Linked DNA regions of Canis lupus familiaris. The protein of the gene in region 5 purifies or fractionates together with the protein of the main gene of each other region. This does not show direct contact. Links are inferred from orthologs where the notes say so. Each region holds a gene or a part of one and is shown on either strand. Other genes may lie near its edges. The genes, in order: PFDN4, VBP1, PFDN2, PFDN6 and MAPK7.

Region 1 (2,589 bases), on a different chromosome or scaffold from region 5:
GGGTTCATGGCAGAACCTGATACAGAGTAAGCACTCAACAAACACTTCTGGAATGAATGGATAAATGAATGAACAACAGAATAAAGGTTCACTGTCTGTGTGGGGTACAGGGAGGGAAGTGCGTTCACAGCAGTGACAAAAACTATAACCTATATTCCACAAGAGTATCTGAGGATGGTGGGAAAAAAAAAGAACAAAACTATAAAATTTTACCGTGAAAGAAAAAGGTTTTATACATAAGGGAAAACACCAATGTTTCTGCATAGAAAGATTCAGGAATAGAAATGTTAGTTCTTCCCAAGGCTTATTAAACATGAGTTTAATTCAGAGGAATTTTTGCTTTCCAGGACATTTGAAGAACAGAGACTAATATTTTAAATAATATTCATATTAATTAAGCAAACTTCAAAAGAATGAGAAAATGTTTGATAGCTACCAGTCTTAAGTGCACGTGACTGCTCCTCTCACAGACAGCTGGAGGGCGTGTGAATTGGAAACTAATTTCATACCATGTCTCAAATGCCTCAAATTTTGTCCATAAATCCATACTCTGACCAGTAATGACACCTGCCTGATTATTTCCTAAAAGAATCCTAAACGTGAAAAAGACTTGAGTGTAAGAATGTTCACTACAACATTACTGTAGGAAAATACTGGGAACCAATTCATGTTAACACCAGGAGGGCAGTGAACTGAATCAGTGTCCACCCGCATGATGTGAGACAGTCATCAGAAATGTTTTCAAAGCACGTGGGGATCCCTGGGTGGCGCAGTGGTTTGGCGCCTGCCTTTGGCCCAGGGCGCGATCCTGGAGACCCGGGATCGAATCCCACATCAGGCTCCCAGTGCATGGAGCCTGCTTCTCCCTCTGCCTGTGTCTCTGCCTCTCTCTCTCTCTCTCTCTCTCTGTGACTATCATAAAAAAAAAAAAAAAAAAAAAAAAAAAAAAGCACGTGTGCTTGGCCCTGAGCAGGCCCTCAGTGAAGATGTGCTGGACAAATGAACACTAAATAGAATGAGAAAGTACTTCTGGTAGAATGTTAACTGACCAAAATGTGAAGTAAACTTACGCAGAGAAAAGAGTAGATGAAAACATAAGAACCAATGAAAATGTCCACTATGGGTGCTTATCTCTGGGTAGTAGGATTATAGGTGATTTTTGTCTTCTACCCCGTAATATTCTATAGTTTCCACACAGTGAGTTTAGAGCATGGGTTCTGGGGTCAAAAGGCTACCTAGGCCCTCCATGTCACTTTGAGTAAGTCCCATGACCTTTCTCAGCCCCGACCTTCAATTCTAAGTTGGGACGAAGGCTCTGCATCTCCCAGAGCCCTTGTTGGGATTACGTAAGATCATGCCTCCAAGGCTTTCATTTCATGGCATGCCCGGGATGTTGTAAAAACCCATGCAGTATCACCTAGGCCCCGTTATTTCCCTACACCTAGAATTAACGTGTTCTTCATAACAACACACACCCTAAAGGAAGTCAGCCTCCCTCACCCAGGGAAAGACTCCAGCATACCTTTGCTTCTTCTAACATTTCCTGTGTCTCTTCTTGAGAATGGCTAATGAAAACATCACCAATTTGATAAGGTATCATTAAGCAATCATCATCTGCAAGCATGATGTCCTCACAAGCATCTTCTAAATTCTGGAGTTGTTTCTAGAAACACAAAAGTAAATGGCAATGAAAAGCACACTCATAATTAAAATTCCCTGACGGAGGTGAAGAGCCAACTTTAATCTGGGGACACCAACTCTGTGAGAGACCCTTTCACAAAGGTATCACCACACTCACATAAGACTTTCTTACATTTCTCCATGGCATTTCCTAGGGAAGCGCTTAAAAGCTAACTCACTGCCTCTAGCTGTTTCCAGAATGCTAAAAGCATCTGTGGGGGACGGCGGGCATCTGTGGCCACGCAAAATGTGTCCTACTCCGCCAATTTCCACCTAGTGAGTTCTGCCTCCTGTGGTAGAATGAAAACAGTGCAAACCTCCATTTCTCAGCCTTGCTCGATGAGAGGATGAAGGTAGCTATGAACCCACATTCCACCAGTCAACTGGCCTTGAACTGGAGCTCAGCTCGGAGGAGCACATAGGAGCTGCTGAGCACAGGCCCGAGTTGGGAGTGGGCAGAGGCTGGGGCGAGGGCCGGGGGTGCCACCCAGCACTCCCAGGTCTGCAGCGCAGCTTCCCGTGCTGGAGGACGCGGCTGGCTCTGGGATCACTGGAAACAATAGCAGCTCCAGCACCAGCCATGTTCTCAGGAGACGCGGTTCTGGGGTCTGCTCCTGGAGCGCCAGCCCAGGCTCACCCCCTCAACACTCTGGAAGTTCTCACACATCCCTTAAGCAAGGTCTTTTTTTCTTCAACTAACTAGAGTGGGTTATGTCAGATGCAACAACGGGCCCAGAGAAATAGAATCATGTATTACTGAATTCAGTTTTAAAAAGCTATAGCAGAAGCACTTGGGTGGTTCAGTGGGTTAAGTATCAGACTCTTGATTTCAGCTAAGGTCGTGATCTTGGGGTTGTGGGATCAAAAGCCACATTGGGCTCCATGCTGGGCGTGGAACCTGCTTAGGAT
Region 2 (4,186 bases), on a different chromosome or scaffold from region 5:
TAAAGGCACAGAGGACTGGTCTACCATGGCGGGTGGTAGGAAGGCATGCACACAGTGCTTCAAGAAATATCAGCACATAGAATGCAGCAATAATCAAATCATAGGAACATTAGATCGTACTACAAGGGTGTAAGGGCACTATTCAACTGCAAGAAATCTGTCAATCATCATATTAAATCATCCATCTGTCAATCAACATATTAAAAGAATAAAATTTAGATCATAAAAGATGCTGAAGTAATCTGTAATAAAAAGTTTTACGGCAGGGCGCCTGGGTGGCTCAGTCAGTTAAGTAGCTAACTCTGGATTTCTGTTCGGGTCATCTCAGGTCATGGGATAGAGCCCCAAGTCAGGCTCCCCGCTCCACAGGGGGTCCCCACGGTTGTCTCTCTCACTCTCTCTGCCCCTCCGGCTCACACACACACACACACACACACACACACTCTCTCTCTCTCTCTCTCTAAAATAAATACATCTGTTTAAAAAGTTTTATGGCTAATTCGAATAGAAGTAACAAAGGCAAAAACAAACAAACAGCAAACATTCTGAATAACAAAATATTAAGATTTCAGGTAAATCACAGAGTAGAGAGGAATGCTCGCTTTCATGACTAATATTTAACATTTTCTTGCATTTTCTAATAAATTCAATAAGCTAAAGAACAATAGGCTGTTAACAGCGGAAAAGAGCTATATTCTGTCTCATTTTAGGTAAAATTCAATACTCATATAGACTCTACTGTAAAATAACTAGAATTACTAGAATTTTTTATAATATTTTACTTATTTACTCATGAGAGACACAGAGAGAGAGGCAGAGACACAGGCAGAGGGAGAAGCAGGCTCCGTGCAGGGAGAGCCACACCAGATTCGATCCCAGGACCCTGCGGTCACGCCCTGAGCCAAAGGCAGAGACTCAACCACTGAGCCACCCGGGCGTCCCAATGAGGTCTGACTTTTAACCAGTAAAGTATATGACCTCCTATCATCACAGGAATTAATATATATCAAGTATCTACTTGTTATACTGAAAGCACATATTGCTTCTCGTAGCAATTCTTTAAATACTGTCATCCTTTTTCCATGAAAATAACAGAGGCTCAAAGTGGTAAAACAACATGCCCAAGACCAAGCAGCGATCGGGAAGTAGAGGCAGGATTCAAACCCTGGTCTATTAAGAAGCCAAAGTTCTTTCTCCAATACCATGTTATTCACATTACATAAAGTTTGGCTTGCTAAGACATCATACCGTGTTGGTAGAAATTTTAATGTCTAGAAAAAATAACCCACAGCTATTTTAGAGGGAAAGGCATTTTAAGATAAGAGTTTATAAAACCTCAGATACAGTGTATGCTCCTGAATTAGATTTTTGAAGCCATCTGTAGCCAAGGACCCAGAACATACTATATACAGCACTCTAGAAATTGAATTCAACATCTAGTCGTGAGCTTTTACTACGTATCCCTGTGTCGCCCGAGGACCAGGAGAAGCAGCCCTGAGCCAACATGAGTACCTCGCTTTCCTCCCACTCGCAGAACACGTAAGTAGGGGCTCTGATATTCCACGGACTGCTCCAGTTCGAATCCCTGGAGAACCTGCTTACACACTCCATGACTTGGGACCGAGTGAGTCGAGTCCCTCCGCTTCATCACCCATAATAATACCCATCTCGTCGCTTTTTGTAAAAGCACTAAGAAAGTGCCCGGCACTCAGCAAAATTTTCCTCATTACCATTAGCTGGGAAATGAATGCAAACAAATAAATGGCACAGCTCACGGAGGAAACACAAAATAACAAAGGAAAAGAACCACAAAACTGAATCGGCAAAGGCACACGTGCAAAGCAGACTGTAGATGCAAGTGGTCTAAATAAAGAATAAAAGAAATGGATATCTTGAACGTCGGAACGTATCACCAACCAAAAAGGGAATACAAGGCAATATAGATACAAGCCAAAGGTCGAGAAAATTCCGTTAATACTGTATAGTGGAGGTCGGTCAGAACCGAGTGAGGAAAGACAGATGCTACTGCCCTGAAGGCCAGTCGGGTTTTCCTTCCTTATTCAAACAGCTGTGAAACACTCTTTCCAGAACAGCCTAACGGAAAGACACTGTCTAGGCTGTGTCCCCGCTCCCAAGCGCACACCAAGCGCTCCGCACGGTTGTTAGAACGATGCGCGCTAAGCGAACCTGACCACACCGCGCCACCTTACAGCGACAGCCCGCCGGCCGCCGGATGAACTCGATTCCCAGCAGGACACGCGAGGCCTTCACGCGTGACCCCGTCCTCCCTTCGCCGCCCCCCTTGCGGCCCCGCAGCCCCGCGGCGGACTGGCTGGGATTCCGCGTCAGCACACCTGAGCGCCAGCCCCCGCGTCCTCACCGCACCCTAAGCCCCGGGCAACCGCCGGGCACTCCGGCATCCTGGCTCAAGTCCCTCCCGGCTTCTCGCCGCCCCCCGCTCTGCCTTCCCAAGCAGCGGAGGCCGAAACCCGCCGTCCGGGGGGCGGCCCGTCAGAGCGGTGCGCTGCACCATCCTCCCTCCCGCATCCACTACCCCAACTCCTCCCCCAGTGGCCGAGGCCGGGATGGAGGCCGGGAAGGAAGGGGGAGCCCGCGGCCTAGCGTCAAGACGCCGAGGACCAGCGTGCCTCTTACCACAAACACGGCCTCCGGAATCCCCAGGTGGAGCCGCCGCCCATTCCCCGTGGCCACTTCTCCCAAGCCACAACCGTCCTTAGCGGTCGCCATCTTGGAGAAGCGAGCGCACGCCTAATGGCCTTGCGAGCCTCCGGCACTGCTGGCCCCTGATTGGCTCGCTGGCAGCCGCCGGCCCGCCCCCGCGCCTGCGCGATCGGCGCGTTCACAGGCGCGCCGGAAGTAGCCGCCCCTTCTAGCTGCGACGACTCGCCAGCCTTTGGGCGCTGATTGGCTGCGCACGATGAGTGACGAGCCAGGAAGCGCCGCGAGGAGACGCTGGCTGTGCGGGAAGAACCAATGCGGCCTCCGGGGAGGATCCGTGGCTCCGAGGGCGGGCTTGCGGACCCTGGGAAGAGACCTGAGCACCACCCGGGAACGGGCAGCGCCTTCCAGAATGACCCCAGAAGCGACCCCAGCCCCAAGCAGCTACTAGTGAGTCTGCGACCTAGAGGACAAGGCGGGGCCGTGCTCTTGGTGTCTTTCTGGTCCCACCATCCCGACGAGCATCCCGGCTGTCAGAGGGTCCGTTTCGGAGTGGAGCCACTGGCCCGAGTTTAATACCCCGCCCACTGCACCAGCCTTTCCCGAAAGCCACCCTTGACCAGCATGTTGCCACCCCAATTCAGACGTCTCACGACTCTATTCTACATAGAGGAGCCTAAGGACCCTTGTGAGGCTTCCAGCCTGACGGACGGCCCCAACACCGCCCGCCACCACGACCCTTTGAAAGCAAGTGCGCTACACACTCCTACGTACTTAGGCTCTGGTGTCTTTTCCAACAACTAACCACCCCGTTCCTCCCGCCTCTGCTTGCTCTCAGGGCTTCGCTGTGAAGCGCTGCTGCATCCGCTCGCACAAACCCTACCCAGGCAGCCCGATTATGAATAAAGGATGTTAGTTCCCTTACTCAGTGGGGATACGTATGTAGTAATAATCGTGATTGACATGTCTTAAAATCTACCTATGTGCCAGCCACTGAGTCATGCTATCTAATCCCCGCAAGCTCTGGCTGAGAGGGACTATTATCACCCATAGTTTACACACAACTAAAGAATCTTAGGGATCCCTGGGTGGCGCAGCGGTTTGGCGCCTGCCTTTGGCCTAGGGAGCGATCCTGGAGACCCGGGATCGATTCCCACATCGGGCTCCCGGTGCATGGAGCCCGCTTCTCTCTGCCTGTGTCTCTGCCTCGCTTTCTCTCTCTGTGACTATCATAAATAAATAAAAAATTAAAAAAAAAAAGAATCTTAAAAATGAGCCATTTGTGTGGTGCCGGGGTGGCTCAGTCGTTAAGCGTGAGACTTGATTTCAAGCTCAGGTCGTGATTTCAGGGTGGTGGGATGGAGCCTCCCCACAGGCTCCACGGTGGGCTCAGAGCTGGGCTGCAGCCGGCCTGACATTCTGTCTCCCTCTCCCTCTGACCTTCCACCCTCTAAAAAAATGAACCATTTGTAAGATAATAGGATTACTGTCATAAGAGTCACATATT
Region 3 (2,783 bases), on a different chromosome or scaffold from region 5:
CACCCTCTCTCTTACCCAACAGGAAAGTCCCCTCCTCTGTGGTTTCACTTCCCCTGTGCAGACCGTGGGCTGAAACGTGTGGGCCACCGGACCTGCCTTTGGAACGATCAGCTTTACCTGGTTGGGGGCTTTGGTGAGGATGGCAGGACACCCAGTCCACAGGTTTGCATCCTGGACCTATTTATCTAAAGAATAGTGCCAAGACGCACTGTCACGCCTGTTTTGTTGCAGACTCATAAAGCATTGCCCCCAGACCTATCTGCCTCATTTCAAATGCTTATTAAATTTCAATCTGAGTCAACATTTGTTTGTGATTCTTTTTTGGGGGAGGGCAGTAAACAAGTAGACACATCTTTATTTGCAAGGGGAAGGATAAAATATGGGACCTCCTCTGATACTGTGAGCCATTAGCCTGATGGAACCAAGCCCCACAAGTCATAGGCTTTTCCATGCCTCATGCAGATCCCGCCCCTCATATTGGGAGAAAGCTTCAGGCTAGAGCTAAGCATTCTGACCAAAACATTTAATTAACAAAAAATATTACAATAGCAGAGAAAATAATAATAATAACAATAAAGAGAAATTAGAAGTGGGAGTCAGGGTAGAAAAAAATGCAAACACCTTGGTTCCTAGGAGACCAACACTCCAGCTGAGCTGGACTTAGCCCCAGCCCCTTCTGAGTTCTCCTTGGCTGCTGGCTTCTCATCTTCCCCCATGAGACGAATGTTGTGCTTTTCCCGGAATTCATTTAATTCTCTTCCTTTTGCCTGAAGCTGCTGTGTAAGGGTCTCAATGATCTTCTGTATCTAGAGGCCAAGCGACAGGGATTATATGAGGATTTCAGGACTCCCTTCCCCTACCTGGTATAGACTATGGCTGGAGGATGTGAAGGAGGGATGATACCTTTAGCCTCACCAAGTATTGATAGTGGAGTCCAAAGACTAAAAGTATGCCTTTCTCAAATACAATGATTTATGAACTACAATGTACACAAGAATCACTTGGGCTGTTTGTTTTTAAAATGCCACTCCATGGGCAGCTGGCACAGTTGGTAGAACATGCAACTCTTGGTTTCGGGGTTGTGGGTTCAAGCCCCACGTAGGGCACAGAGATTACTTAAAAGAAAAAAAAAAAAAAAAAAAAGGCCACTCTATAGGCCTTACCTCTAACTGTTCTGAATCAGTGGGTCCAGGAAACTGCATTTTAAATCAGTTCTCCAGGTGACCTGGATGCAAGTACCCATGGACCACACTGTGAGACACACTGCTCTCACTGCCGCCTCTCCCCCAAATCAGCCAGGCCACAGAGCGCAGGGAAAAAGGCGGACAGCCAGCAGCCTCTCCTGTCAGAGGAGTTCGACTTACTAAAGCATAAAAAGCATGGCTAACGGGCCTTTCATGCGGTCTTCGCCATGGGTTCCCACCCACTTGCTTATACCACGTTCCCTAAATCCTGGCCCCCCCTCCCCTTTGCTCCCAAAGCTTCTACTGGAGGACTCCTGCTCACCTGCTCCTTGTTGTTCTCCAGGGCAGGCAGCACCTCTTTGACAGTCCGCTCCACCAGCACGCCCCCAACCATTCGGTAGCACCTGCGGGCCTCATCGACCTCCTTCAAGGTGTCAATCACCAGGCTGCGGCACGGGGACAAGGCAGATCTGAGAATGCGGCCCCTCTCTGCTGCAGCCTTCCCTTACAAATGGCCTCTCCAACTTTCCTACTGACCGGTGCTCCCCGACCTCCTCACCTGTGCTCATTCAACTCCATCTCCAGCTCAGCTGCTTTGGATGCCAGACCCCGCTGCTCCTGCCGAAGACGGTTGAAGCCAGCGATAACCTTGGAAGATGAGAGTTAAGTGAGAGAGGAGACAGTGGACATGGCTGAGGCTCAAAAAACAACACAGGATGGCAAGCTCTGGATACCTACCTTGGAACAGGAGTAGGTCCAAGTCTGTAATTTCTACCTGTAGTCTGTCTGAAATTCCATTCACTAAACACTTACCGAGAGTCTATTCTGTGGGGGAACTTAACCAGTCCTTCTCGCAGCTTCTGTGTGGTGACGAATAGGCATTTATAATACAGGATGGGTGGGGAGCTCCTGGAGCACCTGCAGAGGAGCTCAGACTTGCAGGTAAAGAAGGCTCTAGGAAAAGGCTTTGTAGGGAGTACTCTCGTTTGGCTCTACCCAGCATTCCTCCCACAGGGGAACTGCCTTCCTTAGCTCAGGGGGTGCTTGTGGGGCTACTATTCACAGGACCCTTGCTCCCTGACCACAGGGGCAGTCCACAGGGGCAGTGACCTATTCTGCACCAGAGTGTCTGTTCAGGAACTGACTCTGGGGTAGAGACAAACAGGTACAGAGACAGCTGGAGTGAAGACAACTAGATGTCCTATAGAGATGATCCTCCATCCCTCTCTTTTTTTTTTTTTTTTTTAATTTTTATTTATTTATGATAGTCACAGAGAGAGAGAGAGAGAGAGGCAGAGACACAGGCAGAGGGAGAAGCAGGCTCCATGCACCGGGAGCCCGATGTGGGATTCGATCCCGGGTCTCCAGGATCGCGCCCTGGGCCAAAGGCAGGCGCCAAACCGCTGCGCCACCCAGGGATCCCCCATCCCTCTCTTGAAACCCTCAAAGCTGCCCTAGTTCTTGAACTTTTTATTTTTATTGTTTTTATTTTTTTTTATTTATTTTATTTATTTTTTATTTTTTTAATTTTTATTTATTTATGATAGTCACAGAGAGAGAGAGAGGCAGAGACACAGGCAGAGGGAGAAGCAGGCTCCA
Region 4 (2,947 bases), on a different chromosome or scaffold from region 5:
AAGAACAATCCGTGGTTGGACATTTGTAAGAAACAATTTTAGGACAAAGAAATGGAAGAATGACTTTGTGGATAACGTATAAACTTGAGGGCCTTACAACATCACAAAGTGTTCCATGCTGGGATTTTAAATCAGCCTAAACTTCATTCAAACAAATTCTAGAATGAGACTAAGATGCTGGGGCTTTCTGGAGGATGACAAGAAAGCATAGCAAGAGGGTCACCACATTTCACCCTGGGGTCTCAGTTTAGATTACCGTGAGCTCTGTAGTTAAACTGGCCTTCCCAATGATCATTGCGTGGTAAATGCTCTTCTCATGTTTCCTAAGGGGCATGCCAACCAAGGCAAGCGTAGTGTATATAGGCAAGTAGGTGTGAGACGTTTCAGATTTTAGTCTCAGTGAAAAAAGGAGGATTACTCTGTGGCAATTCCAGTCACGAGAATTGGGACCGAACAGAGTAATGCAGGTGGCATATATATAAAGTTGAAGGGGCCCAAGGAAGAGACCATCATGACAGGAAGTGGCTGGTCAGAAAACAGCCAGGGGTTTTCACATTTTATTAGCTACAGCATAGACCCTTGAGCTGCCTCATTCCCTCCCCCCCCCATGGGGTCAGGCCTTCCCAGAAGCCCCTGCCTTGGCTGCCTGGGCCCTCTGGAACTCCTGCTGCAGCTGAGCCAGGGTCTCCCTCTGTTGCTCTGACTGCCGCTCAAGGTCCCGGAGCTGGGATTCGTATCGCTTACTGAAGAGAGGCAAGAGAGACAAGCAAATGAGAAATTGATGGGATTTACTCTTGAGGGTGCTGAAGGGTTGGACTCTCCTGGACTCCCCGTGGAGGGTTTGAGGAAGCAGATCAGACAGGGCTACCCTGGAACTACTCCAACGGCTCCTCGACATTCTACGCTGGGGGCGTCCGGTGCCTTGCAGGGTGTCAGAACAAAGACTCACATTTCAGCTGTGATATAGTCCAGCCTCTTCCCCACTGTGGCACGAGCCTCTCCCAGCTCCTGTTTGACCAGCACAGGACCCAGAAGTTTAAAGACCACGTTGGATCCATCTAGCAGGGCCAGCTCCTGATGGAGGGATGGGACATACAAGATCAGAATCACTTCCAGGTCAGGTCCCTTCTGGCCCGGCATATCCCTCTCTCACCTCCTTCACGATATTATTTTCTGTTAGCTGCGCCTCAAGCTTCTGTCTCCCCGACATGGATTTACTCAAGTCTGGGGGTTAGGAAGAAAGGGTTGATTAAACACATCACATGTGCCGCCTAACCCCAATCCTGGTGAGAAGAAAACGGAGCTGAGGAAGTAGACAAGGAGGCGGCAACAGGTCAGTGGGTGGGGACGAGCTCCGAGATGGGGAAGGAGCTGCACGCGGGGCCTCTAGTGGGGCACAACATATTATCTTGGTTTGGCTTTGGGCTGTAAGTGAAGGGTCTGGGGCGAGGCCGCGCCGACGCTGCTCCCTTACCCTTCTGTAGCTGCTGATATTTCTCCACTTCTCCCTGTAGCTTCTTCTGGATTAGCTCAGCCATGGCGGGGACGAAGGCCCGCGGGGAGTGGGAGCGGGCGCTGGGTCTCACTCTGGGAGGTACCTAAACTCCCCTTTCTGGCCCGGCCTGCGGAAAGGACAGCACTCTTGCGAGGCAGCCTCCCAGGGCACCACAGCCTCTCCTCGTCCCAGAGAGCCCTCCACGCAGGCCCCAGGAGGTGGCGGGCGCAGCAAGACCCCAAGCCCCTCAACCGTAACCCAGCCATACTCACGTTCTCGCTTCACTATTACTAAACCTGGAAGTAAACAAAGAATGCTGGGAAAAGAAGGCGCCGGAAGCTGTCTTCTGACGCATGCCGGGAACTGTAGTTTTGGCACGTTTAGTGAACGGTGTTCCCCCAGAAAACTGGACCCGGGAGGTTTTAGGCAAGACAGGGAAACGGAGCTGGAAAAAAAAACTGCACCGTTACTTTGTCCCCAGCCCCAGACTACCTTTCTTTCATTACTCGGGCATAAGCGGCTGCTCGGGATTGCGGAGCCAAGACCTGCCCCGCCCCTCGAGAGAGAGTGGGCCCTCATTCAAGATGGCGCTCAGACGGCTTCAGACCTGGTAGGCACTGATTGGACGAGGGCCGGCGGGCTTCCGGGAGTTTCCGAGCCGTCTGTGGACAGCTGAGAGAAGTTTGCACGTGGGTCGTCGTTCCGGTGGGCTAGATGGAAACAGCCTCCAAACCCGGCAGAGATGTCCAGCCCAAGAAGGCCAGACTTCAGACCAAGAAGAAGGTAGAGACCTCGCTAGGGTGGAAGGGAAATTTTTAGCTGCGGGGTCCCGGGGGTGGGGGGGCGAGGGCTATGGAGTGTTAGAGCTTGTGATCTGCCCGTAGAAACCGCGGAGGTACTGGGAGAAGGAAGCCACTCTGACCGCTGCCGGAGCCTCTCCAGGGCCCCCTCGTAACAAGAAAAGGAATCGAGAGCTCCGCCCCCAGAGGCCAAAGAACATTAACCTCCCAAAAAAGTCTCGGATCCCCGGGAAGCCTCAGTTCCCGAAGAAACCTCGAGAACAGAGAAATCTTGAGCCTCAGAGAAATTTGTCCGGGGTGAGCCTGGGACCTGATAAGGTGGTGGGGCAAGTTGCCTTGTACTTTGCAGGTGCGATGGTTGGGGTCAACCCTAACCTGTCTGCTAATTGCTTCCTCCTTCCCCAGGCCCAGGATCCATTTCCAGGCCCTGCTCCCATCCCTGAGGAAGTGGCTCGCAAGTTCCGTCGCATTGACAAATCCAAAAAGGTGAGGACCAGCTGGGAGTGAGGAGGGATTGCAGCTTGGGAGAGCATATGAGTGAGTTGGATGAAGAGGAACTGTGTGACTCTCCTGGCACCCCACATAACACCTGGTTCTTTTTTCATTACTCTCCTGCCAACGCTGGTATAGCTGCCACATTCGAAGTCGAAAA
Region 5 (4,096 bases):
GCAAAATCAAAAGGTGGGGCACAGTCAGGCTCATCATCAGGGTCATGGTACTTGGCCAGGAAGGGGTGGCGAAGGGCAGCAGCTGCAGAGATGCGGGCGCTAGGCTCGAAACGCAACATGCGTCCCAGCAGTGACAGGGCCTGGCGGTCGGCGCCTGGATACACTGTCTCCCAGGGCACAGCCTGACGTGGTGGCAGGCTCTGGATGTAGGCCCGCACTCTCTCAGCCCCCACAGCCTGGATTACAGCTGGCGACGGGGTACCCAGCACCATCATGATCAGCTGCAGCTGGTGTACATAATTTTTGCCTGGGAAGAGCTGGCGCCGGGCTAGCATCTCACCAAAGATGCAGCCCACAGACCACAGGTCGATAGCCTGTGTGTACTCGTGCAGTGAGAGCATGAGCTCAGGAGCACGGTACCAGCGTGTGGCCACATACTCAGTCATGAAGTACTGGTGTTCAGCAGGCGAGGTGCACAGGCCACGGGCCATGCCAAAGTCGCCAATCTTGAGCTCACAATTCTCATTCACCAACAGGTTGGAGGGCTTGAGGTCGCGGTGGATGACCTGAGCCGAGTGCATGTACTTGAGGCCCCGAAGCAGCTGATACAGGAAGTAGCGCACGTGCTCCAGAGTGAGTGGCTGGGAGGAGTGGATGATCTGGTGCAGGTCACTCTCCATCAGGTCCAGGACCACATAGCTAGAGGGGACAAGAAAGATAAGCATGGCTACCTCGCCCACACTCCAGCCTCACTCCAGCCTCCCGGCTCGACAGGTAATAGCCTCATCTTCACGTGCCGCAGGGGCCAATGGGATGGTATGAAGATTCTAGATTTTCTCTAATGTTTCCATGAAGTTAGGTCACTCTTCTCTCTAGATCTAGTTTCCCCATCAAAGAAAAGATGGGGTTGGACTAAACCAGGGCTGGCCAATAAGTTTAGTTTGGAGGCCATCTCCATTGTTTGGTATAGCTGCCTGAAAGACTCTGAAAACTGTGAAGGCTTACCCATTTTTTTGAAGAAAATGCTCTATGATTGACTAGCAATATCTGCTATGAGAGTAGAAGAGTGCAGTTACTATATGAACATCTTATATTGGTTCTACCTACCAAGATTCTATAAAACAGTAACCACCGGTAACCACCTGCACTCTTCTTGAGCAACTGCAGCTGTCCCCAGCAAAGCCCTAAGGGACACTGGTCCTGGAATAATGGGAACTTTCCCAGCCTGCCTTACATTAGGTTCAGTTGCCCTTTGAAAACTTCAGATCCCACCTCTGCCTTCCTCTTCCGTCCCTGCTCCTTACACAGATTTGAACTCCCCATAGGGCACAGTGGGCCTCAAGATGTCCTTGATGGCGATGATGTTGTCGTGCTTGAAGTGTTTGAGAATCTTCAGCTCCCTGAGGGTCCGCTTGGCATTGGTGACCACGTCAAAAGCATTAGGGATCTTCTTAATGGCCACCTGCTGGCCTGGGGAGCAGGGAAAAGGCAGATACCATGAGGTACCTTAGAGTAGCTGCAGATTGGCAAAAGGCCCCTTTCAACATCTTCCTTCTAGAAGGCTGTTACCATATACTGAATAGCAAGAACCTACTACATGCCAAGGCCTGCACTAAGCACCTTACGGATGTTATCAGATTTTCCCTTCACATCTATCCTGAGATGGATACCAACGGCTCAAAGCTGAAAATGATGAAAACCTGGCTCAGCAACTTGTTGGAGTTAGTGGTAGGCTCGATTCTAATGCCTGTGCTCAACTACCTCCCTACACTCTGTCCATCTCAGACCTTACCCATCCCACCACCAATTCCTTACACCAGTCTCTGGCTCCAAAGACTTTTAGAAACCAAAGACAGGATCTGCATTCTGGTCTGAGATTGCCACTCTTCTAAAGAAATAGGCAAAACCACCATAGCAGTTTCAGAGAACCGAGCCCAACACAGACCCCGGCATCCAGGAGGCACCTAACCGGTATCTGCTGACTTGATCCAGAATTTGGATCCCAGCTTTCCTTCCGGGCTGAGACGGGGCAGGTTTCTCACTCTCTGGGGCCCGCTTCCACATCTGTAAGCGGTGCACAACGGGGAAGCTCACCGGTGAGACGGCGGCGCGCGGAGGACACCACCCCATAGGCCCCGTTGCCTATGGTCTCGATGATCTCGTACTCGTCCCCCACGTCGAAGGTCACATCGAAGGAGCGGGCTTTGAGCAGGGCCAGGTTCTTGGCCGCTACACAGGCAGCGTTGTTGGTGGGTTCCGCCTTCACCGGCCCGGGGGGCTCCCCAGAACCGTCGTCGCCCTCTTCCTCCTTCAGGGGTTCAGCCATGGCGTCTGTGTGGAGACGCTGGTGAGGAGGGGCCCGCCGCCCGCTCCCTGGCCTCAGTTTCCCATCTGGGAGGCTGGGGAGCAGGACCAGGGAATTTCCAAGTTCCCTCAGCCAGCGGGGGCCAGGTAGGGAGCGAAAGAGAGCGGCTGGCACGTAGTAGTCGTCCCACACCCGGACTTGGAACCCAGAGCTCAGGTCCAGGGTGGAATGCAGGGTGGGAGGTGGGGGAGGCGCCGCCAGGCGCGGTCCAGGAAGAAAGGGAGGGGCGGGGCACTTCGCTTTTCTCGGTCAACACTCACCGAATGGCACCTCACTCCGACGCGTCCTCCCGGCCTTCGGAGGTCGCCGGCGCTCCCTGCGTCCCCGGGCTCCCGTTCCCCGTGGAGGGATACTCCGAGAGTCGCTCGCTCACTTGTTCAAGGCCGCCGCCACCACCTCAGCGCCGCGCTCTGCCCCGCCGGTCCCCCCGCCCCGCCTCCCAAGATCACGCTCCCTCCAGCCCCTGGCCAATCGCTGGGCGCTCTCTGCGGAGGTTCCCACCCCTCCGACTTGCTGCGTCCAATCCGAGGCCACCTGCAGAGGAAACCACGCCCCCGCGCGCGCCCGCCCGCGCGCGCGCCCGCCGCTGTCCAGCTTGCCCGCAGGAGCCGCCCAAAGGGCGCTCGGCGCTTCGCAGGCTCCCCGCCCGGCTCAGTCTTCTGACGCATGCGCGCTAGCAGCCCCGGGCGCCGCGCTAATGGAAGGCAACGCCCCCGTGCGTGCGTGCGCACCGCCATCCGCGGGGTTGACTGCGGCAGGTCCCGGGGCTGCGGCGGCGCTCCGGCGCGTGGGTCTGTTACCTCGTCGGCCGGCTCAAGAAATCCCCCTCGTTGAGGCCCCTGCTCCCCTGTCAGTCCTCATCGCCCGAGGAATTATGCACCACCTCCTCATTTTCCCCATCGGTCCCGGGAGCTCCGGGAAGGCGCCACCCAGAGTAGAGAGTGATCGGACGCATCCAACCACAGAGACCCTGGGCCTCCGGGATTCTAGAGCGCCCGGCCTGAAGCCGCCACTGACTTCCGGCGGCTGAGCTTCCGGCGGCCGGGGCCTCTGCTCGGGTTTTCCCGGCCTCCGCCGTGGTCCCTCCGCTGGGTGGCTCCGTCGCAGGGCTCCCGCGCCGCGGGCTGCTGCCGAGCTCAGGGGGACAGCGGGCGGGGCGTCCGGCCTCTACCCCTGCGCGGGGTCCAGGTGCCCGCCCCGCTCCACGGCCCGGTGGCTGATTGGTAGAGCCTTCCCTGAGAAGGCAGCGGCGACTTCGGGGCGGGGCCGTCCGAACCTTTGCGCGGAGGCAAGGTTTGCAGCGGGGAGCTCCAGGTGGTGCAGTGAGGAGCAGCCTTTTGGAGCAAAGGGGGTGGTGCCGCCACGTGAGAAGAAAGCTGGGGAGTCGAGGCGAAGGTACGGAGACTGCGAAGCAGAGGAACGGGGGCTCGGGGCTCTTCCTTGGCCCCGAGTAGTGCTCGGTGGGTAGAGACTCTGAGTGCCAGGTCCAGGGTCTGTTCCTTAACATCACGGACTAGAGGCTGAAAAGTGGGTCCAGACCAGAAATGAATTTTGGCAAGCCTAGAGACTTTTAAAAAATCTTTGTTTTGGGGACGCCTGGATGGCTCAGTGGTTGAGCGTCTGCCTTCCGCTCAGGTCGTGACCCCGAGGTCCTGGGATCGAGTCCCGCATCGTGCTCCCTGCATGGAGCCTGCTTCACCCTCTGCCTGTGTCTCTGCCTCTCTCTTCTCT

What was found.
Region 1: the proteins of MAPK7 (region 5) and PFDN4 purify together in Homo sapiens (affinity purification with mass spectrometry; 3 studies listed by BioGRID and IntAct, with this or other methods). This does not show direct contact. The link is inferred for Canis lupus familiaris from reciprocal best matches to the Homo sapiens genes MAPK7 and PFDN4.
Region 2: the proteins of MAPK7 (region 5) and VBP1 purify together in Homo sapiens (affinity purification with mass spectrometry; 3 studies listed by BioGRID and IntAct, with this or other methods). This does not show direct contact. The link is inferred for Canis lupus familiaris from reciprocal best matches to the Homo sapiens genes MAPK7 and VBP1.
Region 3: the proteins of MAPK7 (region 5) and PFDN2 purify together in Homo sapiens (affinity purification with mass spectrometry; 3 studies listed by BioGRID and IntAct, with this or other methods). This does not show direct contact. The link is inferred for Canis lupus familiaris from reciprocal best matches to the Homo sapiens genes MAPK7 and PFDN2.
Region 4: the proteins of MAPK7 (region 5) and PFDN6 purify together in Homo sapiens (affinity purification with mass spectrometry; 3 studies listed by BioGRID and IntAct, with this or other methods). This does not show direct contact. The link is inferred for Canis lupus familiaris from reciprocal best matches to the Homo sapiens genes MAPK7 and PFDN6.

The regions. Positions count from the first base shown.
Region 1 is NC_049245.1:40,578,126-40,580,714, reverse strand, and holds part of PFDN4 (prefoldin subunit 4), read right to left. Parts: intron 1,664-2,589; coding exon 1,523-1,663; intron 1-1,522. UniProt on the Homo sapiens protein: Binds specifically to cytosolic chaperonin (c-CPN) and transfers target proteins to it. Binds to nascent polypeptide chain and promotes folding in an environment in which there are many competing pathways for nonnative proteins.
Region 2 is NC_049260.1:124,321,894-124,326,079, reverse strand, and holds the start of VBP1 (prefoldin subunit 3), read right to left. Parts: upstream 2,812-4,186; 5' UTR 2,749-2,811; coding exon 2,656-2,748; intron 2,475-2,655; exon of another isoform or gene 2,421-2,474; coding exon of another isoform or gene 2,355-2,420; intron 1-2,354. UniProt on the Homo sapiens protein: Binds specifically to cytosolic chaperonin (c-CPN) and transfers target proteins to it. Binds to nascent polypeptide chain and promotes folding in an environment in which there are many competing pathways for nonnative proteins.
Region 3 is NC_049259.1:22,194,544-22,197,326, reverse strand, and holds the end of PFDN2 (prefoldin subunit 2), read right to left. Parts: intron 1,833-2,783; coding exon 1,744-1,832; intron 1,631-1,743; coding exon 1,507-1,630; intron 807-1,506; coding exon 630-806; 3' UTR 503-629; downstream 1-502. Other genes in the region: KLHDC9 (kelch domain-containing protein 9), read left to right, coding at 23-189. UniProt on the Homo sapiens protein: Binds specifically to cytosolic chaperonin (c-CPN) and transfers target proteins to it. Binds to nascent polypeptide chain and promotes folding in an environment in which there are many competing pathways for nonnative proteins.
Region 4 is NC_049233.1:2,883,265-2,886,211, reverse strand, and holds PFDN6 (prefoldin subunit 6), read right to left. Parts: upstream 1,810-2,947; 5' UTR 1,768-1,809; intron 1,623-1,767; 5' UTR 1,539-1,622; coding exon 1,475-1,538; intron 1,225-1,474; coding exon 1,154-1,224; intron 1,075-1,153; coding exon 950-1,074; intron 744-949; coding exon 614-743; 3' UTR 513-613; downstream 1-512. Other genes in the region: WDR46 (WD repeat-containing protein 46), read left to right, coding at 2,210-2,278, 2,380-2,592, 2,701-2,781, 2,926-2,947. UniProt on the Homo sapiens protein: Binds specifically to cytosolic chaperonin (c-CPN) and transfers target proteins to it. Binds to nascent polypeptide chain and promotes folding in an environment in which there are many competing pathways for nonnative proteins.
Region 5 is NC_049226.1:41,048,987-41,053,082, forward strand, and holds the start of MAPK7 (mitogen-activated protein kinase 7), read right to left. Parts: upstream 2,817-4,096; 5' UTR 2,626-2,816; intron 2,332-2,625; 5' UTR 2,327-2,331; coding exon 2,095-2,326; intron 1,471-2,094; coding exon 1,305-1,470; intron 700-1,304; coding exon 1-699. UniProt on the Homo sapiens protein: Plays a role in various cellular processes such as proliferation, differentiation and cell survival. The upstream activator of MAPK7 is the MAPK kinase MAP2K5.